4 linked regions of the Notamacropus eugenii genome follow. The protein of the gene in region 4 purifies or fractionates together with the protein of the main gene of each other region. This does not show direct contact. Links are inferred from orthologs where the notes say so. Each region holds a gene or a part of one and is shown on either strand. Other genes may lie near its edges.

Evidence for each region.
Region 1: the proteins of SRPK1 (region 4) and U2AF2 purify together in Homo sapiens (affinity purification with mass spectrometry; 3 studies listed by BioGRID and IntAct, counting the BioPlex papers as one, with this or other methods). This does not show direct contact. The link is inferred for Notamacropus eugenii from reciprocal best matches to the Homo sapiens genes SRPK1 and U2AF2.
Region 2: the proteins of SRPK1 (region 4) and DDX5 purify together in Homo sapiens (affinity purification with mass spectrometry; 3 studies listed by BioGRID and IntAct, with this or other methods). This does not show direct contact. The link is inferred for Notamacropus eugenii from reciprocal best matches to the Homo sapiens genes SRPK1 and DDX5.
Region 3: the proteins of SRPK1 (region 4) and TOP2A fractionate together in Homo sapiens (co-fractionation; 3 studies listed by BioGRID and IntAct, with this or other methods). This does not show direct contact. The link is inferred for Notamacropus eugenii from reciprocal best matches to the Homo sapiens genes SRPK1 and TOP2A.

What each region holds. Positions count from the first base shown.
Region 1 is NC_092876.1:18,154,879-18,162,553, forward strand, and holds the start of U2AF2 (splicing factor U2AF 65 kDa subunit), read left to right. Parts: upstream 1-4,667; 5' UTR 4,668-4,798; coding exon 4,799-4,847; intron 4,848-7,675. Other genes in the region: CCDC106 (coiled-coil domain-containing protein 106), read left to right, coding at 1-14, 350-424, 561-650, 726-902, 1,018-1,212, 2,236-2,552. UniProt on the Homo sapiens protein: Plays a role in pre-mRNA splicing and 3'-end processing. By recruiting PRPF19 and the PRP19C/Prp19 complex/NTC/Nineteen complex to the RNA polymerase II C-terminal domain (CTD), and thereby pre-mRNA, may couple transcription to splicing.
Region 2 is NC_092873.1:327,525,284-327,532,850, reverse strand, and holds the start of DDX5 (probable ATP-dependent RNA helicase DDX5), read left to right. Parts: upstream 1-4,546; 5' UTR 4,547-5,238; intron 5,239-5,621; coding exon of another isoform or gene 5,622-5,643; exon of another isoform or gene 5,644-5,754; intron 5,755-5,956; exon of another isoform or gene 5,957-6,046; intron 6,047-6,100; exon of another isoform or gene 6,101-6,261; intron 6,262-6,584; 5' UTR 6,585-6,709; coding exon 6,710-6,753; intron 6,754-7,567. Other genes in the region: CEP95 (centrosomal protein of 95 kDa), read right to left, coding at 2,787-2,894, 3,766-3,894, 5,622-5,643. UniProt on the Homo sapiens protein: Involved in the alternative regulation of pre-mRNA splicing; its RNA helicase activity is necessary for increasing tau exon 10 inclusion and occurs in a RBM4-dependent manner. Binds to the tau pre-mRNA in the stem-loop region downstream of exon 10.
Region 3 is NC_092873.1:355,954,732-355,961,922, forward strand, and holds the start of TOP2A (DNA topoisomerase 2-alpha), read right to left. Parts: upstream 3,115-7,191; 5' UTR 3,110-3,114; coding exon 3,059-3,109; intron 1-3,058. UniProt on the Homo sapiens protein: Key decatenating enzyme that alters DNA topology by binding to two double-stranded DNA molecules, generating a double-stranded break in one of the strands, passing the intact strand through the broken strand, and religating the broken strand.
Region 4 is NC_092873.1:92,960,138-92,968,332, forward strand, and holds the start of SRPK1 (SRSF protein kinase 1), read right to left. Parts: upstream 3,198-8,195; 5' UTR 3,103-3,197; coding exon 3,090-3,102; intron 2,555-3,089; coding exon 2,494-2,554; intron 1-2,493. UniProt on the Homo sapiens protein: Serine/arginine-rich protein-specific kinase which specifically phosphorylates its substrates at serine residues located in regions rich in arginine/serine dipeptides, known as RS domains and is involved in the phosphorylation of SR splicing factors and the regulation of splicing.

The sequences.
Region 1 (7,675 bases), on a different chromosome or scaffold from region 4:
CGCTGCGCGGGTGGGTGAGCGCGGGACCGTGGGCGGGGAGGGAGGTGGGGGGGCGTCTAAGGACGAGGGGAGGACGGACGGGCCTCAGGCCCAGCCCTCGGTCCCTCACCCCTCCGAGAGCCCGGGGCCCCCCGTGGGACAAAGGGCGGGGGCGGAGGGGGCGCCCCACGCGGGACGCAACCCCTCCCCCGCCACGGCGCATGCGCCGGCGGCCGCCGTCCCGTCGGACAATGGGGGGGCCGGAGGTCCACGCGTGTGCGGGGAGGCTGCCGCGGGGGAGGAGGGATGCCCGGCCCGGCCCGCGGCCCCCCCCACGCCCCAGCCCACCCGGGGCCGCTCTTTCCTCCAGTGCCCCTGAGGCGCCGGGACCTCGAGTCCGGCCGAGGCTGCGTCATGAACGAGAGGAACGGCCGGAGGCGGACAAGTGAGCAGCCCCGCCCCTCCCCTCGGGCCCCCGGCCCAGCCCCCCGCCCTCGGGAGCCCCGCGGGGGAGGGGGGCGCCCGGGCGGCCGCGGCCTCGGAGTAAGGGAGCTCTCTCCCCGCCCCCCCTTCCCTTCCAGTGAAGAAGGACGAGGAGGGCTTTGAGATCTCCGTCCCGTTCAACGAGGCCCCCCCTGCGGAGTCACCCCCCATCTTCTGCGGCCTGGAGGGTGAGCCTGCGGGCCGGGGGCGGGGCCGGGGGGGCGGGGGGCGCGGCCTCGCTCACGGCTCGCCCCTCCCCTCAGAGCCCCCGGAGCCCGCGTCGCCCACCCTGGCGCTGATGAGCAGCGTGAAGACCCAGCTGCACATGGCCCTGGAGAGGAACTCTTGGCTGCAGAAGAGGATCGAGGATCTGGAGGAGGAGCGGGACTTCCTGCGCTGTCAGCTGGACAAGTTCATCTCCTGCGCCCGCATGGACGCAGGTAGGGCCGGGCCCAGGTGGGGGGGCCCGCAGGTGGGGGCTGGGCGGGGGGGGGGCCCCACAGGCCCACCTGCCGTGCCCTCCCGTGCCCTCCTTGTCCTCTCTCCCATCTCCAGAGGACCACTGTCGGGGCAAGCCTGGCCCCCGGAGGGCAGAGGGCTCTGGGGAGGCCTCAGACCCCGAGTCAGCAGCCTCCTCCCTCAGCGCTGGCTCCGAAGAGGGGGGTTCTGCTGAAAGGAAGCGCCAGAAACAGAAGGGGGCGGCTGGCCGAAGGAGATTCGGGAAGCCCAAGGCCCGGGAGAGGCAGAGGGGTGAGTGTCAGGTACCCCCGGGTGTGGGGGGGTTGCTAGGGATACGGACAGAGGAAGGATGCTGGACTAGCAGATTGGGTGCATGTGTCCGTCCTCTGTGAGATCCTTAGCACCTGGCTGCCCAGCCCTCAGCCTCCTGTCTTTTCTGACTCCTAGGCAACTAGTTGGCACAGGGAATAGTGTGGGACCTAGAGTTAGGAAGACCTGAGTTCAGATACAGCCTCAGAAGTGTATGATCTTGGTCAAGTCACTTTATCTCTGTTTGCTTCAGTTTCCTCAACTGTAAAATGGGAATAACAGGGTTGTGAAGCTGAAAAAAGATACCCCCTAGGGGGCAGGACCCTGGCATGTGGCCAACCTGGTACCTGTGCCCTCAGAGACCCTCCCCTGTGAATTGTGAGGGATCCCAGAATAGGGCAGTCTGCTCTGCTCCCCACACAGGCAGCCAGGTTTGCATTGGCAAGGGGGCTGCCAAGTCCGTGGGATTCTCCTGAACCTCCTCGTGCTCCCAGGCTCTGCTTAGCCATAAGCCTTAGAGGCTCCATATTTGGGAGTCAGGATGCTTGGGTTCAGTTCTGATGCCATCCCTGATTCATATCAGAGGCTAGAGACTAGGGTTCAAATCCCACCTCAGATACTTAGGAATGAGAGGATCAGCTCTCTCATCTGTCAAATTGGGACAAAAATGCCTCAGAACTTTGTAGCTTCTCATGCCAGGCAGGAGAGGCAGGACAGGGTGGTGAAGAGTGCCATGCCATCCTCTCAAAGGCCCAGGGAAGAGAGCAGTAAGCAAGCAATTTGCACCAGGGGAGGGAGGTGTTCTGTACGGGACATCACAGTTCTGGTTGTTTAGGCCACTCCCACCTTCCCATTTCCAGGGGGACAACACTGAAGGCCAGGCAGTAGCCCTGGGATCTGAAGCCAAGCCATTCCCCTGGGGTGTCACCAAGCAGGGGTGGGTGGTTGGACTCGGTCCCCATGTCTCTGGGGCTCTCACTGGCTCAGCCTTTCCCTGGCCCACAGTGAAGGATGCTGATGGGGTGCTGTGCCGCTACAAGAAGATCCTGGGCACCTTTCAGAAGCTCAAGAGCATGTCCAGGGCCTTTGAGCACCACCGGGTGGACCGGAACACGGTGGCCTTGACCACGCCTATTGCTGAGCTGCTCATCGTGGCGCCGGAGAAGCTGGCCGAGGTGGGCGAGTTTGATCCGTCCAAAGAGCGGCTGCTGGAATACTCCCGCCGCTGCTTCCTGGCACTGGACGACGAGACACTGAAGAAAGTACAGGCTCTCAAGAAAAGCAAGCTGCTGCTGCCCATCACGTACCGCTTCAAGCGGTGATCCCCACGCCTGTCCTGCCCCAGCTTCTCCCCAAGCCAGCTGCTGTCACCGCCTTCTCTCCCTCCCACCCTGCATCAGTCTTGTGTTCTCGGGCCTGGATGGCCGAGCCAGCTGGAGCCATCGCCTACCCCAGCATGGATCCCCCTAGACTGGCTGTCTGCTGTCTTCTCTTCGGATGCTGGCTGCTTCAAGTGGCCCCTCCTATGTCCGACTACTCGACTCTCCTCTGCTTCTTCCAGGAGCAGCTCTTTCCAAGCGACAATCCTGTTCCCTGGGCTCTTGAGGGGGCCTCCAGAGGTAGTGGTTGGCTTGCATCCTGTGCTCTAATGGGCCTCCTGGCTACCTTTTCTCGCCAGGGGACCCCTTATGTCCCACAATGGTTCTCCTATTGATGTCTGAGCCAAGTGATGTGTCATTTACAACTAGTCCCCCTTAACGGCGACCCTCCAGGAGCCCCACAAAGGCTCAGCTCTTGGGTGGGATCCTGCCCTTGCCCTTTTCCTAGCCTTCCGCAGCACCCCTGCAGCCGGTGGGTGCATGCACGTGAGTGATGTGTTTACATGTGGTTCCAGGTGGAGGTGGGTGGGCTCCCTGTCTCATCTGCTGCTACCCTCTCATGGAGTTTGTGTGGAGACAGGAAGGCAGTGTATGTATGTATATATTTACCGAACATCTCCCCCTTCTGCCTTCCGTGGTGTCAGCATCTGTTTCCCACCCCCATTGCCCTGGCCTGGCTTCCTTTATTCCTTGCCCCAAACCTAGAGACTTGGGAGTCTCTGCAGACTGTCCAAGTGGCCGGGCATCACTGCCTCTGGAGAGAGGTCAGAGGAGCCCTTGAAAGAACCTGGCTTCTCGCTCCACTCTGGGTGTGACTCCCTTCCCTCCCCTTCTCCAGGCCTGTTTCCTTCTCTGTAAAATAAGGGAGTTCAGTGCGATCCTATCCAAGGTGGCTGTGAGGCCCTGGGTAAGTCTGGGTCTCTTCCTTCTCGTGAACGCGGAGCAGATGGGACGAGGAGCCCCCACGAGGTCGCAGTCTGTGACGATGGGGCCTGGACTCTGCGGAGGCTGACCGATCCTTCCCTCCCCGGCGGCCGCTGGGCAACGGAGCCTGGGAGCGCCCCCTCCCTTGAGTACCAGCCGCCGGCCCTGGACCAACAGATAAATGAAGTATTCAGAGTTAAAATTAAAAGTTAACCAGCAGATTTGGAATAACCTTGGCCTCGGTTCTGGCTGTGGGGGAGAGGGGGTGGCGAAGTGGACCGAGCCGAGAGACGGCCGGGAGCTCCCTTCCGGGGCGCTTGCCCGTCCCGAGGCTATGGCGCAGGCGCGACTCTGCTTAGGCTGCCGTTTCTAAGGCGACCGCCAAGGGAAGGAGAACGCGCTAACAGTCTTACGGGTACGGGGCCAGTCGGCTTTGGAGGGCTCAAGTGCGCGTGCGTGCTGGCCAGAGAGGGCGGAGACGAGCAAGGGGTAGCCTCGATCCTCTTTTCCCATTGGTTGGCCCCGCTTTGCACTTGCGCAGTAGCCCGGCTCCCCGTCCATTCGCTCCGGCGCAGCCGTAGCTTAGGTTCGGGTCGGCCTCGCGGGGCGGCCCGCACAGGCGCACAAAAGCCCCGCCCCCAGCTAGGCTCCACGGCGGCGCGGCGTTCCGCGGCCTACCAGTCGGCGCCCTCGGTTCCTCTCGCGAGCCGCGCCCCAAGCCGGAAGAAGTCGAAACGCAGGGAGCCGGGAGGCGGGAGTCGGAGGTGCGCCTCCGGAAAAAGCCGAAGTCGGGCCCGAGTGCCTCCGGAAAGAACCGAAAGCCGGAAGGGGCCGTGCGTTCGCCGGGGCCAGCAGGGGAACACGACGGCTCCGGCCGCGTTCGACCTCTAGGGCAAACTCGAGGCCACCCCGACAGGGTCTGTGCGGCCTCGCGGGCCGGGACAGGAGGGGGTGCCTCCCGACCAGAACTCGGGAGCCGCTGAGGCAGAGACCGCGCGGTCTGTTGGGGCCGGGTGAAGCGGGGCGGGGGCCGGAAACAGCCGAAGCGTTCCGGAAAAAGCCGAAGGGACTCAGGCCCCTCCTCGAGCGAGTAGGAGGCGGGGCCGGGGGCGGAGCCTGCGCGGGGGCCGGAAGCGGGCGAGGCGGGCGCCGGAAGTGGGCGAGGCGGCGCCGAGGGCAGGCGAGGCAGGCCAGGCCGGGCCAGGCGGGGGGGACGGGACGGGGGAGAAGGCGCGAGCGCGGGCTGCGGCCGGCCGCCCCTCAGCATGTCCGACTTTGACGAGTTCGAGCGGCAGCTCAACGAGAACAAGCAAGGTGAGTCCCAGCCTCGGCCGGCCTACCGGCCTCCGGCGCTCCCTTCCTTCCCTCGCTCCGGTCCCTTCTCCCCTCAGCCCGCGCGGCTGCCTCCCCCTCCCCCTCTCGGTCCGGCGCTACACGTGACCCGCGCGCGCCTCCCGCCGCGCCATGTGACCGCGCATCGCACGTGACCGCCTCGCGCGCGCCCGCCTCGGGCCCACGCGGCTCGGGGGGCCTTGACCGAGACCGGAGACTTTGGTCAGTGCCGGGACCAGCTAGGGTGGCCCCCCCCCAACCCCGACCGGTCCCCCTCCCGCTCCCTCCTCGCTCCGTGCTGCCCACTTCCGCTTCCGGTGGCGGCCCGTTCCTCCTCCACGCCCCCTTTGTTCCCAAAATGGCCGCGGCGGGGGCTTTCCCCCCCACGTGGAGGAGTTGGACGTGGACTGGTCCGGGATCGACCCCCGTGACTCCCGCCGGCCCAGAGCCCTCGCTGGCGTTCCGTCTCCCTTTCCCACCCCTGCACCTCCTTTTCCACTCTCGGGGCAGGGGGCGCTTCGAGACCTCTTGGGGCTTCCGGCCGGCCAAGGTCCCTGGTCACCGACCTTGCGGCTCCCCGGGGCCTCGGCGGGGGCCGGGCCAAGTGTCCTTCCCTGCTACTGGAGGGGGGCATCCCGAGCTTGGAAGGCCCTGTGGGCCCCCGGGGAACGCGTGGGAAGGGTCAAATTCATTATCCGACTTTGTCCCGACCCCTTCCCCGAGGGCCCCGTCGGGGCCTGGGACCATTTACGGTCTGGCCCTCAGCCCCTAAACACGTGGACTTGGCAGCCTGTGTGAGTGAGGAGCGGCGGCTGCCCGTGCCCGCCTTCCCCTTCTTGTGCCGAGCTTTGTTTTGGTTCCGACCGGCCCTTTCTTGACCCTCAGGGGCTCCTTTCTCCTGTTGGTCTTCTTCTTCAGGGCGTTCTCTGTTTCCGGCAATCAGAAGGGGTTTATCCTTGCCCTCTTCATCTGAGGCCTTCACCCAGTATCCCTCACCTCAGGCTGTCTCTAGAGGGCCTTTTCCTTCTTCCTCCAGATGTCCCTGAAATGGTCCCCATGTTTACCCTCTCCCTGAAGCAGGTTAAAGTCAGGGTCTCTCCTTCCAAAACTTCACTTCTAGTGGAACACCTTTGCCCTTCTCCGCTGCACGTACTCTTTCTAAATGAACTCCTTCTCAAGTTTGAACAAGTCCAAAGTTCTTTCAGTCGCAGAGATGAGAAAACTAGGGCCTAAGGAACCAAAGGGATTTGTCCAAAGTAGTCCAAGGGGCAGTCATGGGGCAGAATGGGGAAATGGAACCAAATATTCTGATCCAAGTCTCCCCAACAGACTCCTTAAGAAAATCCTCCTGTTGAGCAGGGTGTGGAAGTATCCCAAACTTCTCTGTAGTTTTGGAACCCTACTGACCCAGTTCTCTGAGACTGGAATCTGGAAAGGATAGGACCGCTTCCTCCCCTTTTTTTTCTGCCCCAATTCACAGGTTTCTTCTGCTGGACCTCACATCTCCTTTGCTGCCACAACTTAGTGGTTCTGTTTCTTTGCCCCCAACATTACCTGCTTCTAGCAAATCAAGGCATACTCCTCCAATCATGTTTTAGAGAGGGGAAAATCTGCTGTCTAGAGAATCCAAGGTTATACAGCAAATCCAGGTTGGAGCTGGAACCTCAGTTCACTTGCCCCATTCAGAAGGAAATCTATTTACAAGGAGGAAAGGTCCAGGTTGGAGCCCTGGTTCTGCTGCTAACTAACTGTGTGACCTTGGGCAAGTGAGAATTTCTTTCTGAGCTTTACTTCTCTTCCTTTTCATAAGGGAGATGGACTAGATGATATCTGGTGTCCTTTTCAAGTTTGACAGGAACCTTCTACACACGTCAGATTCATCCTCCTGGAAGAGAGAGGTAGATAAGGACTTTGCCAAGGTCACCCAACTAAGTGGGCCCAAGCTTGAACCCAGGGCTCCTGTCTTTCAGCCTATTATCCTTAGTGATCTGGAATCAGTGTCAGAACCAGAAATGGTGCTTAACCATTGTGGCACCCTGATTTCAGAGGATGTGAATCCTAGCCCTTTGGGGCCTGGGGTTGTTTGCAGTAGTTGTCTTACCTCAGATCAGTTCAGTGATCTCCTCTCCCTAGTTGAGCTTGTGAAGCCAGGGTTCCCGCCTCCATGACTGAGCTCTCCATCTTTCTGGTGTACTGGGTTAGAGGTGGATGTATACCAGTGAATCCCCTCCAGAGAAGGGATGAGAATTAGAAGAACCTGGGTAAGAAATAATGATGTCTAGCCATCCATAAGGGCATAAGACTGAGTTTTGGATCCTTGTTTCTCCAGGCACAGGGGGAGGTGGGACTGGGCCCAGTTGGGATCCTGGATTCCTGAAGAGAAGAATTAGTTTGATTTGACAGTGGGCAGTCATCTCCTTGGGAAGAGGTAGACCCTACACTTTTGGATCTTGGTGGGATCTTTGAATGCTTCAGTAAGCATCTATGGGTGACTGTCTCCATGGCCCCCTCCTCACTTTAAACACAGAAGCATGTTTTGAACAGCTATAAGATGATTGAGAGCCTGAAGATGGAGTAGGGAATGAGAAAGGGTGCATATGATGGGGGGAATCTGCCATCTGCCCCACTGGCCAGGCTCTTACCAGCAGCCACAAATGTATCTTGGCACTATGAGCTCTTTCCTTGCCTGGTGAGAGCTCTTGCTCCGTGTATGCTTCTGGCCACATTTCTGCTTCCAGTTTCCTTCCCTGCCATGGACCATGTGGTACTTGGGTAGGGGAGGTACAGGGAGGATAGGAGTCCCCTGCCCT
Region 2 (7,567 bases), about 230 Mb from region 4:
CGTTCCTGAAATGGACAAACTTGCATAAAAAGATTCAAGAATAGAGAATCCTAAACTAGTCTAGTAGAAACCTGGGTACTGGAATGCTATTGTGTAAGGAAAAAAACAACAACCTTTAAATGTAATCGTTTAGCTCCTTCAGAGTAGGGATGGTTTTTTGCCTTTCTCTGTATTCTCAGTGCTTAACAAATATTAAGTGCTATATAGATGCTTGCTGATTGCAATTTATTAGCATTATCTTCTAAAAATTGTTTTTAATCAACTTTATCTCTCAACATATTACTTCTATCTCCCTCTCTCAGAGAGCTATCCCTTGTAACAAAGAATAAAGAGGGAGAAAAAACAGTTCAGTAAAACTAGCACAACAACCAAGTGTGACATAGAGCGTTTCATACCCTTAACCCTCCATCTTAGCAAAGAAGAGGGAAGTGCATTCCTATTTCTCCTTTGGATTCAAATTCTCAGAATTTGTTTTCAATTTATGTTGCTGGGTTTTTTTCTTTTACATACTTGTAATCATTATGTACATAGCTTTTATGGTTCTGTTAATTCACTTTGCATCAGTTCATATCAAGTTTTCCCATGCTTTGGTTTTCTTCATATTCATCTTTTCTGATTACATTTATATGCATTTATTTAGCCAACATTCCTTTTATTTTTAAGAGGACAGGCTGAAATGGCACATCCTCTAGTTATATTTTTAATAAGATAAAAAGCATTTAGTGAATTTTTATCAGAGGGAGACATTCTACTTGAATTTATAGGTCCCTACCTGCATGAAGATGCTACTTTGTTCAGGAGAAATTTGTTGGGCTAGAGCCTGGCTGATTGACTGCTGTACTTGAAATAAAGAAGACCTGGGTGCAAGTCCTGCTTCTGACACTTACTAACTGTGTGACAATGGAAAAAATCGTTTAACCTCTCTGAGCCTCAGTGTCTTCATCTGTAAAATGGGGATAACAACACTTGTAGTACTTATCTCAAAGGGATGTGATGTGAATCAAATGAATTAATGTATGAAAAACACTATGTAAATATTTACCATATAAATACTATTTGGATATGAAAGATAAGATTTCATATAGTTACTTCTTCATACACACTTAAGAGTTCACACTTTTTGCTAATCAGGTAGGCAAAAACATGCAAGGAAACTAAAGGGGAGGGACTTTCTTAAGCGCTATTGAAACTGTTAAGAGCTTAACTGTATTGGCAATGCAATTCACAAAATGAACTTAAAAGCCTATGAAAAATATAGCCTTTATGTGTAAAGACCATTTAAACTTTTTTTTATCTCAGTACTGGCAGTAGTACAAAACAACATGAGGAGAAGTAATGGTGAAAGTTTTGGTTTTGAGAGAATTCACTTATTTATTCATAATTAAAATGAATAAGGCTCCATTTAGTACCACTCATATGGGTGGTATAGCAGATTTTTTTGTTTTAAATAACATTAGATAATGGTTATTATTTTACACATCCAGAGCAAGAATTTGAAGCCTAGAAGAACTCCTGGGAATAAAAATGAGGAGTAAAAAAAGCTGAACACTCAATAAAACAGAAATTGCATAGTTTTCATTTCCTATCAGAATACACAATTGTAAGTAACTCCAGGGTGTCTCTGCTTTCCAGGGTGGGGAGAACAATTTAGCTGCTCAGCATCCCATACTGTGTATTGTAATTACACTCTCAATTGAGTTCCCTTTAATTTCTGGCCCCAATTTCCTCATCTGAAAGATGAAGATGCCAGTCTTAACTGTGACTAATAGAACTGTGACATTAAAACTATGTCATACTAACTCAGCTTATTTCATATAACTTCTCACTGTTGGAAAACCAGATGGATTGTACCTACTTTTTGCTCCTGGACACACCATGAACTTTCCCACCTTCTTGGATTGGTTCACACAATCTCATAAGCCTAGAATTCCCTCCTTCCCTCTTCTCTAATTGAATTTCTACAACTGAATGCCACTTCTATGAAGTGTTCTTATTTCCCTCCCCTAAACCACCACCATTTGACCATTTATTCTGCACCTCCTAAATGAACTTATATAGTAAAATACATTATAGTTATCTGTCTTAGTGTCTTAGTGACTTGTTTGCAAGTATGTAAGATCCAACTGAGCAGGAAGTGTGTTTTCAACTTTCTATCTCTGATTCTTAACAAGGAGCAAAGCACCAGATGCTTAATGTCTGAATATAAACAAAATGAAGGAAAATAAATGAACAAATTAATTTACTAGTCCCATTCCCTCATTCTTATCAATAAGGAAACAAGACCAGAGAAGTTAAGTGATTTGATGAGAAAATAGTGGCTGGAAGGCTTGGGAGAGCGTATGTTTTTGTAAAAGTATTACCTATGGACTCAGAAGAGACACAGGTTCCAATTCACCTCTGTCATGTTTTCCTGTGTCTGATCATGAGGAAATAGTCATTTCTATTCTTCAAGTCTCAGTCTGTTCATCTGTATAATCATGGCCACAATACTTGGATTATTATCATAGGATTGTTGTGAGGATCAAATGAGAATATATGTAAAACACTCTGCAACTACATCAATGCCAAGTGCCTGGTACTGAGCGGGAAACTGATAAATATTTGCTACTTCAAGGCTTAATTACAAAGGGGCATTAAATTACAGATCTCTTGACTGTAAATCCAGTGTTCTTACCCTTTCAGCATCTGCTCAATTAAATGACGCATAGAGTCCAAAGAAACAAAATAATTTCCTCAGGAAAAATATAATTGTTTGAATTCAGTTTGAGATGGTTCACGTTACTAACCTGTTATATGGGACAAGCTGACCTGCAAGTAATCCAAGGCCAGTGAATCAATAATTGCTTGTACATTGTGTGCATGATCTTCTTGGTTCTTAGGGACAGTTATGAGGTCTGTGAAGGAAAGGGAAATAACATTGTTTTATAACTGCAAAATACCAAATTCAGAAGATGTTGACTAATCCAGGTCATCAGGGGGTCTAGTGTAGGGGTGTGGCAGCAGAAATGGTGGAGAGGAAGAGGACCACAGAATCTCTAATCAATGATGATTCATTGTACATGGGCAGTAAGTTATGTTAAAGATGACTGAGGAAACAGTGGGAAAAGCACACTAATACTGACATAAAGAATTCAAATTCTGAAAGACAATTAGACTTCAAAAGGCAAAAAAACCCAACAAACTCAGTTCCCTCAAGTAAATATGCTTTTTTTTCTCCTAAATTAAAATGAAATTTAAACCTTTAAATGCTGACTGGATCTTATACAATCTCAGTGCCATTTTAATGTATCTATTCAGCAGAGCTGCAATTAAGCAGTTATTAAATCCTGACAAAATGACTTAAAACATCATTGTTTAGTCGTGTCCGATTCTTCATGACCACACAGACTATAGCATGCCAGGCCCTTCTATGCTCCACCATTTCTTGAAGTCTGTTTATGTTTATTGTTTCTGTGACATTATCTATCCTTTTCATCTTCTGACTTCCCTTTTCCTTTTGCCTTCAATCTTTCCCAAAATCACGGTTTTTTCCAAAGAGTCCTGTCTTCTCATTATGTGACCAAAGTATTTAAGCTTCAGAATACCATACATGGATTTAGAATTGGAAAAGTTGTGTTTGTCATCAGGGCATTACAGCACGGATGTAACATTTCAATTCAAATAGGTAGAATTCTTTTTTGTAATTGCAAAAAGACTAAACTGCAGTGAAAGTCCTGGGAGACAAAATATAGGAAATAAACTGACCCCATGTCTTAGTATTCTTACCTGGTACTACTTCTCCCAAGATAGAATGATAAAGAGTAATAAACACATTTGCATCACACTCAGAAAGAGACTGTATCCTCAGCCAAATATGACACTTCAAAAGAAGGTTATTGGCAACTGATACCCACTCTGGAAAAAAAAAGATGTAAAAAAATGTTATCGAGTTGGAAAAAAGCAAATCTAAAAAAATCAAGTATGGAGTTCTGTTTACTTAAGTAGATAAGGAATCAAAAAAAAGCTGTCTTTAAACTAAAAATATTTACAAGTGTAGGGAAAAGTCATACTCTAAATATTATTCTGAAAATAACAGCTCTGACTATAAATTCCTAAAAGACTTAGGTTTAGTTTTGTTAGTATTTTAAGTAAATTATAAATTTATCCACTTTTGAGATACTGTTTTTACTAACAGAATAGAAATAATCAAAAGTAATCAGTACTACATTTTTAAGATTGTGTATGGGAGCCCAAATGTTACTTCATCACAACTTTAAACTGCAGCTCATGATGTGAAAATAATGGAACACCAGGAACTTTGAAATGGTGAGCTTTTGAATGTCAAAATAATTTTCATCCTTCTAAGATGAACATAAGCTATGATTCCATTAGTTTCTCCGCAACCACCACCTTCTCCATGAAGCTGCTGCTGGTGTCCTGGAGTCAAACACTGCCTTGCATTGATACATAGTTACGTGCATGTTGTTTCCCTCCACAAGCTTCGGGAGGGGAGGGGTTATTTCACCTTTGTCAGTTTCCTCAGCGTTTAGCTCGCAGGAGGTGCTTAAGATTGATCTGATTCTGGTAAAACTGATAACCATCATAGGAAACCAATTCCCTGTCATTCTGGCACTGGAGACCTATCCAGCAGTACTCACTCTCCACGGTCAAGCTTCCCAAGCTACTACAATAATGGACTGCGGTGCCCAAAGCAGCTGTCTGCTCCTGGACAGCAGCAACTCAACCAAGGCACAAAGCTGGCCATTCTACAAGACAGACCTCGAGTGCCGGGGTTTTTTTTTTTCCTTTTCACTGAACTTTTTCAGTCTGTCCTGTCTGTATCTCCTTTGTACCCAGCGGCTGGGTTTGCCTTTCTTTGTACCCTCAGGGTTCGGGGGTACTTCCCGGCGCACCGAAGGCTCTAAAACAACGCTTGCTGACTTAATTTGACAACCCTCAACGTGAATATTTCACACCATAAACACATTACTAGGTAAAGCTTTAAGTGAAAAACCGAGCTGGTTGTTCTGCTGCCAGACCCAAGCAATACGTAGATAACAGGAATTAGAAAAGGAAGACCAGGGACCTAACTTGGAGTTTTCACCAACAGCTTTCCGGTCGGAAAATGTATTTTGTTCAGGTTCCTTCAACACAAAAACCACGACTTCCTACAATCAGCGCAAATCTACCTTCTCAAAAAGAACAAACGCGTGAGAGGAGCTGCCGAGTGGTGCTCAGACCTGCGGAGCAGCGTTTCGGGTGAGATAACCAAGCTCTCCCTCCTCGCCTGCCCTACGGAGCCCGGCGTGTGCTCCCCAGACCTAGGCCCGCTGGGGTGCCTCCCTCTCAGCTGGCAGGTCCGCCTCGGGAGGGAAAGGGGAACCCCAACAGGGGACACATCACATAAAACCACCCTCGGAACACGCCTCCCAGGGAGCCCGGGGTTCCCCAGAGCGAGTTCTGGAGCTCAGCTGGGGGTGAGAGGCATGGGCTCAAAGCGCTTTCAGGCTAGGTAAAAACGCTTCACACCCGCCAGCCGGCAAGCCGGCGAAGGGGAGGAGCGGCGGCCCCGCGCATTCGCAGCGTGCACACTTCCTCTTCCCCCGCCACCCATGGGTGTCGGCTTCAGCTGGGAGACTCACCAGCCTCCTCCCGGGCCTCCATGTCCGCGAGAGCTGTACACCGGCGGGGCTCGCGGGGAACGGTGTCCTGGAGGGACCGTTAAGGGAAAGGAGTGTGGCGGGGCAGGACGACGCGGGGCGGGGGGGGGGAGGGCGAGGAGAACCGTAAGGTAACTGGGGGAGGCGAGGGAGGGACGTTAAAACGGCTTCTCGCTGCTGATTGGCCATCTGGGTGCACTTCCTGTCGCTGCACGCGGCCAGGCAGCGGTTTAGGGGCTACTACTACAACTCCCCGCGGGATTATTCCCGCTTCAGGCTTTTCAGGCCGCTCCGTCGGTTAGACAGACCGGTGGCCGACCTAGTATAACCATTCAACCTAGGGAGGTAGCCGGCCGGGTGCCGGGGCCTGCCGCCCAGCTCTACATTTTTCGTATACCTCCGCCTAAGTGAGTGGATAAATAGTGCAGTGGCCGGCCCAGTGGGCTGCGGGTTACGCTCACGTGATCGGAGGAACCTCCGCCTCCTCCTTTTCCCTGACCGCGTACTGTGGTCCTTGAGAGTCGCAAACGTCTAGTCTGGGGTGGTGACGTTAATGTTTTACGGCCTGCCTTAGCGTAGGAAAACCTAAGAGTGAGGTTGACTATTCCTGAATTGGTGAAATGTAAGGGCGTTCCCTGAGAGAAGGGGCGAAGCAAAGGGAAACATCCGCGGGTGGGCCGCTAAGAGTTAATAACGAGCTAAGGTGGGGGAGGGGTGCTGGGCTCGCCACCAGAGGCTAGAACATGGCGGCGCTCGGAACGCCTGCGGGTGTTGTTACCTTAGCGTCTTCCCCCTCCCCCTCCCAGAAGGGGGTGGGGCGATGAGGTCATAGAGCGGTTCCCATCGCGCTTTGCGGCGGAGGAGGCGGTCCAGGTATAAAACCGGCTGCCGGGAGCCCTCTGGCTCCTCATTCATTTCCACCGGCTTGGGTTCCTCTTGTTTTAGCTGCAGCCTCCGTCTCAGTCCCCGCCCCCGCACGGCCTCGCGACCGCCGAAGCCACCTTTCCCCCCTCCCCTGCGATTTCCCGCTTCTCCTCGGTTGCTTCCCTCCAACCGCAACCATTGACGCCATGTCTGGATACTCGAGCGACAGAGACCGCGGCCGGGATCGAGGGTGAGTACGGACATTTGTCAGTCGCGGCTGAGAAGGGGTGGGGTGGGGGTGGGGTCGAGAGGAAGTGGGCTGGAGCCCTGTCGGCGACAGGAGGCCTCGGGCGCCGGCGGTCCGCGTCTAGTGGCCCTGTCCCTCAGTGCTGAAGGGATGTAAGGGTCTGTTGTGATGCCGCTTATTTTCATGTCTGGGCTGTGATTTGGGGGGACAGGCCCCAGGTGGGGAGACGAGGTAAAGGCGACGTCAAGCGGGGGTGAGTGCGGCGGGATGGTCTGCGGCATTTGGGGAGCCCCAGAAAAGTCCCCTAATCAGCCTGGCTTGGGGGGGTTCCGAAGCCGTTCGGGCGCGGGGGCGGCCGGTCTCTGCCCCGTCGGGGAGCTGGCGAGACAAAATGCCGGCCCCGGACATGGCGGCGGCGCCTTTGTTACCCCGCCCGGCGGAGGAGCTCAAAATGGCAGCTTTGAGAAAATGTGGCGCAGAGTGAAATGCTAGACAAAGGGGGAAGCGCCGCCCAAGCGGGAACGCGGCCCGGCGGACTCCGCCCGGGGCCGCGACTCCTCCCCTGGTACCCGGGCGGCCCCTCCCTCCCTCCTCGGCCTTATGTAACCGCGGTTACCTTCATCTTGAGCCCACCCACCGGGGTGCATAATGAGGCTCCCGGGGGACCTCCCCTTGTTTGGTGGCGAGCTGTCAGAACTCGGGCCCTTCTGTTATCTGCCTTCCGCTCGGAAACGTTCGGCTCTAGGGAACAGCTTGGTGTAAAGAAATGGGATTGTTGATCTTTTATCTCCCCTTTTGAAGCCTGGGTCCTTTCCCC
Region 3 (7,191 bases), about 260 Mb from region 4:
TTCATTCAACCCATTTGGGGTTTTCTTGGCAAAGATACTGAAGTAGTTTGCCATTTCCTTCTCCAGCTCATTTGACAGATGAGGAAACAAAGACAAACAGGGTTAAGTGACTTGCCCAGGGTCACATTGCTAGGAAGTGCCTTGAACCACTCCAAGGATGGCATCATATCCACTGTACCACCTAGAGCGGGCATTGGTGCACTTGTATTCCTCAAACAAATGCTCCATCTCCCATCTCTGTCTTTTTAGCTCTACTCTCTTACTTTCTCTGGTTTCTTTGAAGACACTTTCTGCAGAAGATCTTTCAAGGTCCTTTTAGCTGCTTTTTCCCCTCGGAAATTGCCTTTCATCTAACTGTATAGATCTTGCATATATCTATTTATATGCTCTCTTTTCCCATCAGAATGTGCACTTCCTGAGGGCAGTTTTTTTGTCTTCATTTTCTCAGCATAAGCACGGTACACTGGTTCGTGCTGGTACTTAATAAATAATGGTTGCTTGACTGATTCTGTTGTAAAAGCCCAGGCTGAGCTCACAGGTCTTGAGAGACCTACGAAAGCAATGCTTAGAAAAATATACTCACTGAGGGATTGGGGTGGGGGTGGGAAAGCTTTCTTTGGTGCTGTTTCCTACAATTAGAGTGTAATTGAAGGCAGGGATTGTCTCAAGTTTTCTATTTTTTCCTATTTCCCCAGCCTAGGTACAATGCTTGGCACATAGTAAGGGATTAATAGAGGCTTCCTCTTCTCCTCAGTGAGTATCTTCCTAGAACCTCCATTTGAGGAATTTCCCAGGGCCAATTACCACTCAAGTCTCAATGAGCTCTACCCCTTACTCAACTTTTCCACCTCTGGCCATGTACCTTCCTGGTACCTTCTCTCTTCACCTTTCTCCCTCCCCAAATTTTCAGTTCCCTTTTGTGTGGTGTTTTTTTTCCCGTTAGAATGTAAGATCCTTGAGGATAGGCATTGCTCTCATATATCCAGTAGACATCTTAAACTCAACATGTCCAAAAGTGAACTCATTATCTTAACTCAAATCCTTCCCTATTCCTAATTTCCCTGAAACTGTTGAGGATACTACCATCTTCCTAGTTTTCCAGGCTTCTTAACTTTCCAGGTATCTTAACTTCTCACCATCTTTTTTTGAGGTAGTTGGGGTTAGGTGACTTGCCCAGGGTTACAGAGTTAGTATCTGAGGTCAAATTTGAACTCAAGTCCTCCCAACTCCAATACTCTATTTCATTCCCTCCCCCCTCATCTAATCTTTGCCAAGACCCATCAGTTTTATATTTGTGACATCTCTAGCATGTGCCTCCTTCTGTCCTCTGACACTGTCACTACCTTGGAAACAGGTCCTTATCACCTCAGATTTGGACTGATCAATGTCCCTGCCACAAATCTCTCAGCTGTCAATTATATGTCAAAGTGATTTCAAGTCTGATCATGTCACCCTCCAACAATCCCCCTCTAGTCTCCTATCACCTCCAGGATCAAATATAAAATGTGTGATTCAAAGCTCTTCATAACCCAATTTATCTCCGTTTATCTTTTCAATCTTCTTACACCTTATGCTCTGATCCGACCATACTCATCTTCTTGTTGTTCCTTGAATGAAAATCTCTCCATCTCCTAACTCTGGACATTTTCACTGCCTGTCCCCTTTATTCAGAAAGTTTTTCTTTCTCCTCTCTGCCTTCTGACTTTCCTGGCTTCCTTCAAGTCCCAGCAAAAAGCCCATCTTTATAGGAAGCCTTTTCTAATCCCTTTTAATTCAAATACTTTTCCTTTGTTCACTGTCCCTTATATGTCTTATCTGCACATAGATGCTTGCATTTTTCCCCCCAAGAGGGCAAAGAGTGGGGACTGTTTTTTTCCCTTTGTATTCTCAGTGCTTAACACAGTTCCTGGCATAGAAGTGCTTAATAAATTCTTTATTTGCCATCTTAACAAATGCCTTTCTGTTTATTCACCCTTATTTTTTGTCAGGGGAAATATTTGACAGAGGATTGCACTACACTCATTCTGGTGGTTTTATAAGATCCATGAGCACTTTGCTCACCCTTTATTATCATCCCTCCCTGTATCAGGCAATGTGATATGGTTAGTTGGTTGGTTGTTGTCCTTTGTTTTCGAAGAGGACCAAAATGACATCACCATGATAAAGTCAAGTTTCAACATGTTTGGCTGTGTCTGATCAGACCAATACGAGCTCTACCACAGATTGGGCACAGATAGTCTTTGTGAACATTTGAGGTGGTTACTCCAAATTTGCGCATCCTGCATTTACTTTGTGATGTTTCAATTCTGCTTTGCTCATAGAACACAGCACCTTTTCTGATGTGGGCATGCCATACTGAGAGGTCCTGTGCCAGTGTCTCCCATGTTGCACAATCAAATGTGCAATCAAAAAGGCAATGTGATATAGTGAAACCTGGAAAGCCAAGAGACCTGGGCTGTTAAGAAGTTTTGGATATTTAAGACCATTCTTACAGATGAGAAAATGGGTTGATTTCAAACACAACTCTCCGAACTTCCCTAGTGTTTTTCAACAGCAGCTCAACTTTAGACCATCCTTGCTTTCAGGTGGTATCCCTCCTCTCCCATGCTAATTTTTTGCTTAGGATTGAGTAAAACTGAAGGAAATTAGTCTCCCAATGTTCCCTCTTCATCATGTGCTGGGGAGGGAAAGGCATGATAGAATTATTTTAAAGCCAAATTTAAAAAAATCAAACCTGCTACCTCTCCCTTCTATTAAAGCAGATTCAATAAATAAATAATTAAGCACCTAAGAAGTTCCTGCAGAGATACGGCAGAATTCTCGGTTCTTATAGAGTTCACAACCTAGTTGGGGAGATGTGACTACCACTACGAGTCCTTAAGTGACATTTGATCTGATTGAAGATCTGATTGGAACAAGAAGAAAGGAGCGGCAAGGGTGTGAGTAAAGCTGCTATTACTCTTCCTTGTCCTTCTACCTTTCTTGATTTACTACTTCCTAACAATCAGACCCTCAAAAAAGAATCTTTAAAAAATAAGTGACTAACATATTCACTTGCCTTAGCCTTATTAGGATTTCTCTTCTTCCAATCACCGCAGTTATAAACCATCTCTTCCTTTGAGATGAATGTGAGAAAGGAACTATGGCATGTCACTTATGAGGCTGTATCTTCTCTGATGTCATAAAGTGGTAGTTGGGGTGGGGGCAGGGAAAGATCACATCATAACTCTATTCCAGTTTAAAGAAAGTGTGGTACAACAGTTTGGGACTAGTTAATTCCATTTCCTTTGTGTAATTAATGACATTAATTATGCTAAGGTGTCATGTGGATAAGATTTCCTGTAAGTGGGCTAGTCAATTTCATCATTCATTCATTCACTTTTATTCCTTAAGTATTTACTGAATACCACAGGTCCCAAACATTTTTGACCCCTTTACTATCCCAGATTCAGTATGGGGTATTTTGGGTGACACTTTTGCAAATATGACAACCATCCAACCCACAGACCAGGCACAAAAAATAAATTAGATGGTACAGTATTTAGTTATGATAAAATAAAAAGTAAATAAGGGAAAATTAAGTGGTAGAACCATTCTCAGCATGTCAGCACGACTCCTCCCTGCTAGCCTTCCATGCCAGCAGGAAAGGGAATATCCTCTGGAAAAAGCATATTCCTAGGAGAAGAAAGGTTGCATCTCTTTTGGAATGCCTCTCCTTTCCTCTTCTTCCCAAACTAATGTTCATTTTCTCTTCGAAGCTACTACTGACATCTGCTGGAACTGTCATCTGCTGATGCTTCTTCCAGAGAAGATAGAGTAGTCTTACAGTGCTTTGGTTTTTTGGAGGGGAGACTTTTCAAGACAACATGACTCAGGGCTAATCAATACATTCAGTTTGGCTGAAATGTTGAGTACTTGAAAAAGGAATATGTAAAATAATGTAGGTGGCAGTCAGATTTTGAGGGACTATAAATGCCAATCTAAGGAGTTTGTATTTTTCTTAGAGATGATAGAACATCACTGAAGATGTTTGGGCAGTCACCTGGTCAGACTTGCACTTTAGAAATGCTAATTTGTACTTGTGTGGAGAATGAGCTGGAGAGGGAAAAAGACTGGAAGATGGGAGAACAATTAGGAAGCTATTGCTAGAGGGTAGGAGAGGTGATGAGAGTTTGAATAAAGTGGAGAGAAGAGGTACTAATTCTGGACATGTTATAGGAGTAAAATCAACAAGACTTAGCAACTGATTGGATATGGGGGGGGTGAGGGGAAGAATCAAGGATGACTTTGACTTTGAAAATCTGGGTCATAGGAAGGATGGTGATGCCTACAAAAGAAATGGGGATGTTTGGAAGAGGAATGGGAATATAATGAATTTTATTTTGGTAATAATGGGTTTGGGATGTCCAACAGACAGTGAGCTAAGAAGGACTGGAATTCAGGAGAGGAGATTACAGCTGATTGAAGAATCATCTGCATAGAGGTGATACCTCAAGCTATGAGAACCAATGAGATCACTGATTGAATGAATATAGAGAAGAGAAGAGGTCTTGAGGAAAAATCTTGTGCTTGTGCTTGTATCCGTGTGTGTAGGAGTAAAGGAGACCGAGAAGAAGCAGGCAAATAGGTAGGGAAATGAAGACAGAACAGAGCAATGACTCGGAAGTTAGACGAGATAATATTTATAGGATCACAGAGCTTGAGAGTTGAAAGGTACCTCGGTCTCTATATAGTTCAACATATACACAAAAGGAATCCCCCACCATAACACCTCAGATAATTAATTGTTCATCGCATTTCTTGCTTGAAGATCTCCAAGCAGGAGGAACCCTTCATTTCCGGAAGCAGTGCACTCCCTTTTTGGACAATGCTAATTGCTCAAAGTTTTCCCTGATATCACAGGCTAAATCTTTACAGCTTCCATTGCTTGCTCTCTGGGGCCCAACAGAACTAGACTAGATTCTCTATATGACAACTCCTTCAAATACCTGAAGACTTTTATCATGCCCCACTGAGTCTTCTCTTCTCCAGGCTAAACGTTCCTAATTCCATTAACTGGTCTTCATATGACAAATACTGAAGGCCCTTCACCATCCTGACTTCCCTCCATTGGATATTTTCTAACCTATCAAGGTCCTTCTTAAATTATAGTGTCCAGAACTGAACATAGTATTCTAGATGAAGTCTGACAAAGGGTAGCTAGAAGGTGCAACAAATAGAGCACTGGGTCCAGAGACGGGAAGACTCATCTTTCTGAGTTCAAATCTGATCTCAGACACTTACTAGCTGTGTGATCCTGGCAAGTCATTTAATTCTGTTTGCATCAGTTTCTTGCTTTATAAAATGAGCTGGAAAAGCAACCCACTCCAGTATCTTTGCCAAGAAAATCCCAAATGGGGTCACAAAGAACAAGATGAAGTCTGACAAGAGTAGAGTGCAGTGGGACTATCACTTTCCTATTTTCCTGGAAGCTCTGTCCCTGTCAATGAAACCTGAGATTAGTTTAACTTTTTAGAAGTCTTCCATATTTCGCTATAACCTCATATTGAACTCATTGTCCAGAACTTTTTTTTTTTTTTAAAGAACGACTTTCTTAATAAACATACCTCCCCCATTTTCCACTTGTGAAATTGATTTATGGTACAATGTGAGACTTTACATTTATCACTATGGAGTTTTTTCTTTGGAATTCTGTTTCTGCCACCCAGTGTATTAACTATATTTCTTGGCTTTGTGCCTTCTTCCAATTTAATGAATTGCACCATCAAAAATGTTCAATGACACAACACCAAGCCCAGATACAAAGGAGTACCTTTGCCATATCCATATGGAACCATTGGCAATTACTTTTTGAGTTGGATCATCTGACCAGTTCTGGACAGATCTGATTGTATTGTCATTAATCCATATTTCTTCACTATAGCCACATGGATAGTATGAGGACACTTGATCAAAAGCTTTGCTAAAATCAAGGTAAACTATATTCACAGCATTCCTCTCATCTCTTATTTTAGTGTGTGTAGAGAAATGATGATACGACTTGTATTTGACTTTGTTGTTTTTGAGTGAGAGAGATCTGTGCGGGTCACCAGCCTCACTTCTCCTCCAGAGCCATCTGAATTCAGTGACCATTCATCAGAATGACTGGAGATGGCCCAGGATGAGGCAGTTGGGGTTAAGTGACTTTCCCAAGGTCACACAGCTAGTGAGTGTCAAGTGTCTGAGGTAAGATTTGAACTCAGGTCCTCCTGACTCCTGCACTGGTGCTCTATCCACTGCACCACCTAACTGCCCTCTTGTTTTAGTAATCCTGTCAAAAAAGGAAATGAGGTTAGTTTGGCATAACCTGTTCTAGAGGAAGCCACGTTGGCTCTTTATAAGGGAAAGGGAATAAGCCTTTATTAACTGCTCTACTATATGCAAGGCATTGTGCTAAGAGCTTCATGCATATGCCATGTGATCTTCACAATAACCCTGTGATATTGCTATTATCACCCTCATTTTACAGTTGAGAAGTGGAGGCAGACAGTGGCCAAGTGACTTACCCAGGGTAACAGCTTGTAAATGTTTGAGACCTTCCCAACTCCAGGCCCAGTGCTCTATCCACTTCACTATCACCATTTGTTTTCCTTTTCTAGATGTTTTTCAACCATTTTTTAAATGATTGGTTCTAGAATGTCTCCAGGAATCAAAGTCAAACTCCTTGACTTATAGATTCTGTATAGGGTATAGACTCTGTTCTCTTGCCCTCTTTTGAAAATCAAGACAACATATTCCTTTTCCAACTTCTGTCATTTCCTATGACCTTTCAGCTATCGATGATAGTGGCTCAGCAATCATACTGGACAGTTCTTCCAGGACTCAAGGATATAGTTTATCTGGTCAAGTGACTTGAATTCCATCTTTTTGCTCTAATAGAAACTTGGATTCATCAAGAAAACAGCTTCCATTCCTGTCCACTCTCTTGAGTACCAGGTTCTCCTTGTGTTCTCCCACTGATGTTCCTTTTATTTGAATGAGAAGACCCTTTAGTCCAAAGAAAAGACATTTAATCAAATAGCAGAGCACAATGAATTACAAGAAAACTCTCCTCTTCTCCTTTTCCCACATCCACCATATATATGTTCACTTTGTTGGGTATTATAGAGGCTATACTCTCCCACAGATTTCCATACCGCTGGTTCCATACCT
Region 4 (8,195 bases):
AAGAGGCAGAAGAGTGAAGCTTTGAGTTGTCAGATATTCACATATCCATTTATTTTCTTTTCCCCTGATCCTACCAAACCTTTGCATACATGTAGCCTGTAGAATAGAGCTGGAGGGAGCCAAGAATGCAGACCAAATACCAATATCACTACTTAGAAAAACTGAGGAAACAAAAACGTAAAGCTTAACTGATAGGAATATCTAGCAAGTAAAGAGAAATTACAAATGAAAATTTTCAAAATTTTCTGACACTAAATTAAATCAGTAAGTGATGGCACTTATACACACCTTTTTATAAAACAAAGTACCAAAATAATTACTGGATTAACTATACTACTTTTTCCCCCATAGATTCAACTTAACTGACTACTGTATACTCTTTTATTAGGGCACTATGTAGGCTTCGAGAAGCTACAAAGGTAAGACAGGGCCTCTGACTTGAAGGAATTTACGGTCCTGTATCAAAAGCAAATAATTGCTATCTATGTAGAATTAACCCTAGAGTTTGCCTATACCAATATACAACAATGAGATAACTATATAAGAAGACAATACCAAGATAATACATATTAGCATGTGGAATATATATTAAATTACATTTCTTTCAGGCTGATATTAAAATTAGTCTGTAACTCAGGACCATATATCAACTGAGAGAGAAGTTCAAGCCCAGAACTGACCTGTATGAAGTTATTTGGACTTGAATGTATTTAAAGAGTAAGCAAAAAATAAATGAATTCAAATAAATATTGAAGCTCGGGTGTACACATATGGTCTGGGTAGAAAGGGGAATAACAATACCAGAATGTTATAACTACTACATGTCTTCTAACTTGCAAAAATAACATAAGCTCCTCGACGGCTGAGGCTGGTTTTATTTTTCCTTGGTATCTCCAGCACAGAGTCCTGGCAAATAGTAAGCACTTAATAAATGCTTGGTGAATTGATTAATTCATAGGTATCATATTCTCTTTACCTCATAACTCGTTAGTATCTATGATGGCTATTATCATCCCCATTTAGATTTTGGAAAACTAACACATGGAATGGTTAAATGCTTTGCCTACTCATACTGCAGCAGCTAGTGCCAGCAACCTTATTCTATTCAATTTGATTAAAAAAATAGTTTCTGATAATTCATTTGTGGATCAAATTTAAATGCATGTATACAATGTGTTAATAAGTTAAAGCACTTCACAAAGGAAAATGAAAATACTCCTTAAGTTGAGTACTTAAAGCCAAGCAAAACAAAGAGATTAAGATTACTATCATTATGACCCAGCTACACCAAATTAAAAAGTGGAAGTTGCTGCTTGCTTCCAAAAAGAAAAAAATGGGGGGGAGGGAGGGGGCTTCTGAAGGCATCTTTGTGCTCCTGTTATTAAAGAAGGCAATGAGACAAGTTTTCGAATACGTTCTCAGCACATCATCTAAAAACCAGAGTCTACAAAAAACAAAACAAAACAAAAAACCTCAAACCCCAAAACTACTAATGAAAAGAAACAACAAAAACCCAAATGAAAACAAGATGATAAACGTAGAAAATAATAAGGCCTACAATTAATATTGAAGAATTTATCTACACCATGATAAAGAGCTAATTTTCTGAATACACATTGTTTAAAACCTGATTTTTATGGATCTTCACGTTGAAGTATTAGTACAAAGCAATTCATTAATAAGCCTCTTCTGTAGGCACTATACCAGAAGCAGCCCTTCTATTCTAGGTTTCCCATGTCAAATTTAAACTAGGATTATCTATTCCAGTGTGTGTGTGGGGGGAATTATCATCTAAAGCGGTATCACAAATTTGTCATTAATAACTTTCCTATTTGATCCTCTTCCATAACTGACCTATTTAGAGTGATTTGTTCTTGTTTGTATTTGAGGAATAAGTTAAAAAAAAATCTAAACAAATACTTAATTTCTACTACAAACTGCAAGATAAGCCACAAAAAGGGTGAGGGGAGGGGCCCCATTAAAGCCAAAGATGGTCCCTGCCCTCAAGATGCTTACAAAATATGTACCCAGCACCGAAGGGTGCTCCAAAAGGTTAATTTCCCATCCTCTACAACTTTGTAGACCCTGCAAAAAGGGATGAATCCCATCTTCCCGCTTGCAATTCACCCTAAAAATATCGCAGGGGCCGCCTACTCCACCAAGGCACTGCGCAAAATGATGGGGAAGACTAGCTGGCCAGGGCAGGCCCGCTGGGAAGCAGCCCGACCCACGCAGGTTCGCAGAGATTTCGGTGCCCGAGAAATGAATGACTAAGGACCAGTTCCCGGCGGGAGGTCAAAGTTAGGGAAGAGATCCCGTCTGCCCCAGCCTGGCTCCCACAGCCGCCGGCGCTCCCTAAGAAGGCAGCCCGCAGCCCGGCCCCGGAGCTAGGCCATGTGCGGCAGCCTGCCGCCCGGCCGCAGGCGCACGGCATTTCAGGTCGCTGGCGAGAGAGAAAGAAGCGGGGAGGGGCAGAGTGTTTACAGGACTCACTTCCTTTGGGCTTTGTCCTTCTTGGCCTTGGTCCGCTTCTTTCGGGCCTGGAGCGCAAGCACTGCGGGAGAGAGGAGTTCGTGAAAGGGGAGCGCGGTGCAAGGGTGGGGACCCAGGTGACGTGGAGCGCGGTCTCGGGTGGGGAAGGGCGGCCAGGTGAGGGCACCGCACCGGCAGTAGAGTGGCCGCGGCCCCCCACAGCCAGAAGCGGAGCCCACGGGGAACACGAGGGGGCCCCCGGCTGGAGGAAGGGTCTTAGGCCGGGTTGGTGCATGTGGGAGATGCAGGGCACGGGACTGGGGAGGGCAGGGACCCGGGGCCGGGCTGAGGGTAGAGAGCGGGGGAGGGGGACCGGACCCCGCCGAGCGGATTGGGAGGCCGGCGTGGGGGGATGAGGGGGTGCCGCCAGCTCAAGGAACCCGGGAGAGGTGGGGGGTGGGTGTGCACGCCCCGAGACAGGGCCTTCGGGGGTCCGATGAGAGCTCGGGGTCTCCGACCTGCCCTCGCCCCACCCTGGGCCAGCGAGGCGGCCGTTGCCCTCCCCCCACCCCGCTCCCCGCGTGGCCCCGGCAGTCGGAGGCCGCTCCGCAGCTCACCTTTCCGCTCCATAGCGAGACCGGTAACCGCCAAGCGCCTGCGCACTCCACGGGCGACTGGCGGCTACTCCTGCTCCCGCCGTAGCCCGAAATCGATGCCGCGCACGCCCCGCCTCCGCGTCTTGCGCCTGCGCGCTCGGCGCGGGCCCTACCACCTGCTCCTTATCTGGGGGGGAGGGGAAAAAAAGGCTGGGAAAGCATGAGAATGAGGGTTAGGAGAGGGGTGGTCTTGGTCGTGTACTGCCACCTCCCAGGCCACCAACCCGCGAGCGAGCAAGCATCTTGGGTTCGATGCGAATGTGGGGATGCGGGATGAAAGACCGGGGTGCAACATAATGCTGAGTCAGGCCGTGGGGCTCTTTTCCTGCCAAAGGCGGCCGTGCCTCAGTTTCCACGTCTGTAACCAGGAAACAATATCGGCCCTACCTACCTCAAAGGGTGAGGATAAAATGAGAAAAGACGTCACTGCGTTTAGAAAAAGTAAGGCATGCTACGGAAAGGCCAGTTCTTATTTTATCAGGAGAGGAGAATAGAAAAGAAAAAGGGAGCCTGACTCAGCATTATGGAGCAAGCCCTAGATCTAGTCAGAATGAGGGCAGTAACTTGGTGCACGTGTGGCTTGGGTAAGCAGGGGCAAAACTAAAACACAGAAGTCCGGCCGGGCTTCACCTGGCAGAATACTGGCCACACCTGAGGGATTTGGCAACCTTTTATAGGTGGGACTTGATGGAGAGTGCTGACCCACACGTCTTCTGTTACTAATTAAGGTTTCAGCCTGGAAGCCTTTGACATCCATTTTCCTTTAAGGTAAGGTGGGATTGGAGAGACAACAGCAAGGACAAACATTGCCTGTTTCACCATTTTGCCCAAGGCTGGCGTGCCTGAGATATTTGGTAGACGTGACAATAGAGACTGAAAATAGCTGAGCCGATGAGGATGATAACACCTCCCGTTTGTGCAAGGCTGCGGTCACGTCCTTTATCTGATTTGACCCTCAGTACAATTCAGGGAAGCAAGTTTTCTTCTTCAGACTAGAAAGAGGAAGAAAATGAGGTTTTGAAGATGAAGCACTCTTGTTTGGGGGGTAGGGAGAGGGAAGATGTCAGACCTGTAATTTCATTGGTTAAGATGTTTCCCTGTGAGAAAATTCCCTCTCCTGATACAAGTAGCAATGGTTCTGCAATTGACAATTTTGGAGAACTGACTAGGGCGCAATAGGGTTGTGATTAGCTAGTCAGACTGTATTCGTATGTGGCAGAGGAAGGAGCTAAATCTAAGAAATCACCATACTACTTTGGAGTCCCATTCTGGAGCAGGATAAGTGAACTCCGCTTTTTTTTACAGAAATTTAAACCTCCACACTTGTTAAAGTAAGGTAAAAGTCCTCCATCTGTAAAATAAGGCTAACAATACTTGTACCATCAAACTCACAGGACCATTTATGAGGAAAGTGCTTTGGAAACCTTCACATGCTATATAGAAACTATTCCTGTGTCGACCTGAAAGTTTGGTTAAAGGAGGCAAACAGGCCAGGTGATATGTAAATTCATATCGTTTATTCCTTTAAAGCTAGCCAAAGATAGTGAACTTGTATGTACAAGGAGCCAAAATGTGAATTCTGACTGTCTGAAAAAGAATGACCAGCTTTAAATATATTTTAGAACAATCCCAACTCAGAGTGCCTATGTCACTCAAATTTATGATCTCCATATATGTTTAACCATATTATGAGAAAGGAATTTTCTTAATTGAATACATGGTAAATGCAATAAAATAAGAGAGTTGACAAAGTTTCAATTGAAATTATGATCCAGGATATCTGTGTTTTCTTTACCATTTACATGCTATAACATAGTATATGTCCATAAAACATTAAGATATAGAAAAGTCCCATTATTTAAGAGAGTGTCTTGGGTTAAGGGTCTCATCCTTACTGGCCATAAATAGAAAAAAAAAAATGTTCTTAAGTCAGCCCCATCTGGTCTTGTTGACATCAGAAGAGGTATTCTCTGAGTTTACTCAGAGAAGGAAATATTTGTTGGGTGGAGGTGCTTCTTCTGATTAGTTCAGGCTCTGGCCCTTATTGGCCCTTACTGAAGTTCAAATGAGATTAATTCATGAATCGAATGAAATTAAACAGATTATCAACTGTTTTAGAGACTTCTTCAGATTTGAGGTAGCTAGATGTTGCAGAGGATAGAGTGCAAGTCCTGGAGTCAGGAAGACCGGAGTTCAAATCCAGCCTTAAACAGTTAGTAGCTGTTTGACCCTGGGCAAGTCAGGTAACTTCTGTCTGACTCAGTTTCCTCAAATATAAAATGAGGATAATAATGGCATCTACCTCCCGGGATTACTGTGAGGACTAAATGGGATGATAATTGTAAAGTACTTAGTTCAGTGTCTTGTCACATAGTAAACACTGTATAAAAGTTAACTATTATTATTTTCATTGTGGAAGCCCTTATGAGACTGTAATGGAAAGAATACTAGACTTAGACTTAGGAATGGCAGGTTCAAGTCCCCATTCTGCCGCTTGTTAAATGGGGGCCATCATTTAGCTTCTCTAACCTCAGTTTATTCATCTGTAAAATGGGAATAAGCCTATATGGTTAGAGTACTGTGAGAGAAAAGTAGTACAAAAAAAGTGGAGTTCACTTACCTTGATGCAGAATGGACTAGCTAAGTCCCAAAGTAGTCAGAAGGCCTGGCTAGCAACCAGTCTATTGATACTAAGAAAACACCTATATTCCTGAGTACCAGATCATGCTGGATCCCCAGTCCAATTGGATCCTAAATTCTACAGCTCCTCTGATAGAGAGAAAAATGGTATCAGCAGATGTCTTTCCCTCCTTTACTCCAACTACTGACCTCCCTGGCTTCCTTTAAGTCCCAACTGGACTTCAACGATTCTGGTAGAGAATGAGGCAACCCTGTCTCCCTTAAGCCCAATTCAGAGTCAAGTGAAGACACCACCTTGTGATGTCATTGGTCCTCTTGGAAAATAAAGGATGAACAAGAACAAGCCCCTATTGAAATCCCATCTTCTACACAAAGCATTTCCCAGCCTCTCTTAATTCCAGTGCTTTTCCTCTTTTAATAATTTCCTGTTTATCCTGTACATAATTTGCTTTGTATTGATTTGTTCGCATGTTGTCTGCCCCTTTAGATTGTAAGTCCTTCAGGGCAGGGGCTGGCTTTTGCCTCTTTTTGTTTCCTCAACGCTTATTACAGTTCCTGGCACATAGTAAGTATTTAATAATTGTTGCTTTATTGATTGGATCATGTCTTGGTGCCGACCATCCAACCAGGACACCAAGGCCCAGCCAGTCTGTCTATTTTGCCATGTTCTGTACCTCCGCCTACCACTCTCCATCATGACCTGGACCCCTTCCCCACCCCAGAGTATTTAACGCGATACATTTGGGGACTGGCTCTGGGAGGAGTTGCCCCAGAAATGTCAAGCTGTGTTTCGTTCCATCCAGCCCTTTCCTAGCACACTAGGACCTAGTGAGCATCAGCATCAAGTTATCTGGCCTGCCTCTGTGTGTGAATCCAACCACCCCCCCATTCTCATCCTCACACACAAACCAACAAACAGCAGTTTTTCATCTTTTGCTCAGGAAACAGTAATCAAATTATTATTACCAATGTTGCAAAAAAAAAAATATGAGAATCTACTGCCACATGGTTCTCTGCATGACGGCCTGGGCTTAAATTCACTTCCATGATCACTCCCTCATACAGGCTCTGTCCCTTCATAGAATGTATAAACTCTCTGAGGGCAACAACTGTCTCACTTTTGTATTGTTCCCCTCAATTAGCAGTGTTTTTTACATATTGGGTGCTTAATAAATGCTCATTGATTGACTGATCAAGTGTATATATGAATGATATATATTGAAGTGTATGTGAGCCATGAATGTTAAAATGCTTCATAACTTGGATTAGCATGTGCACATATACAGTGTCCCAAAAGTCTTAGTGCAGCTTTAAGAAGGCTTTTGGGATGATCCCTTATGTAACATGTAACCTATTGTTATGTGAGGTGATAGCACCTGAAAGGGAGGGAGGGCTGTAGTGCAGAGTCAGGAGATTTCTAGAACAGAGAAATGTCTATAGTAAATTCTTTTAAAACCTAGCTGATTCCTTCCACTGCCTCCCCTCTCCTCTCCTCCAACCCTCACTGGCTATTCAACACTTAACTTTCACTTATCTTGTATCTGTATACGTGTCATGTTTCCTCATAGGACTGTAATCGGCATATGAAGGCAGGGCCTGGTCATTTCTTGAGGACCTAGAACTCTGAAATCACAACTCCAGTGGACTGGTCAAGTTGTTCAAATGCAAAACATTCCCTTGCCAAAAAGACTTAATTTATGGAGAACTCAGAAGTCAGAAGAAGTGATACAAGGACATTCCCATGGTCTCAAGAACTTTGGAATTGATTTGTGACATGGGAGACAATGGCACAGGACTGCTCAGCATGGTGTGCCCACATCAGAGAAGGTACTATAGGTGCTCTATGAGCAAAGCAGAATTGAAATAGGTCAAAAGAAATGCAGGATGTGCATATTCAGAGAATCCACCCCAAATGTTCACACAGACTATTTATGTCCAACCTGTGGTAGAACATTCTGAGCTTGTACTGGTCTGATCCACCACAGTGGGATGCATTGTAACTTGACTCTAACATAGTGATGTCCTTTTGGTCCTCTTTGAGAACGAAGAACAACCAGCCAACCAAGGACAGTGCTCTTCATTAGACAAATGCTTAATAAATATTTAATGAATGAATGAATAAATGTTGGAAGGCCATGAGGAATAGCCCTATAAAGACCCCAGAAACTGAGAAGGTACAAATAAAAATGGGTCATGTGCTTTCGTGTTATAGGGTTGGTCAAGGCAAGGCAATTAAGTATTGCTCCATGCCCAGGCACTTGCTAAACTCTGGGCGTAAGAGTACAAACAAAAAGGAAGACTGATCCTGCCTTTAAGAAGCTTACATTCCCTACACACTGCACACAAAAGGGAGCTGAAAGGCTGGGAGAGGGAAAGGAACAAGCATTTATTTAGTGCCCACTGTGTGCCAGGCACAGTGCTAAGCAC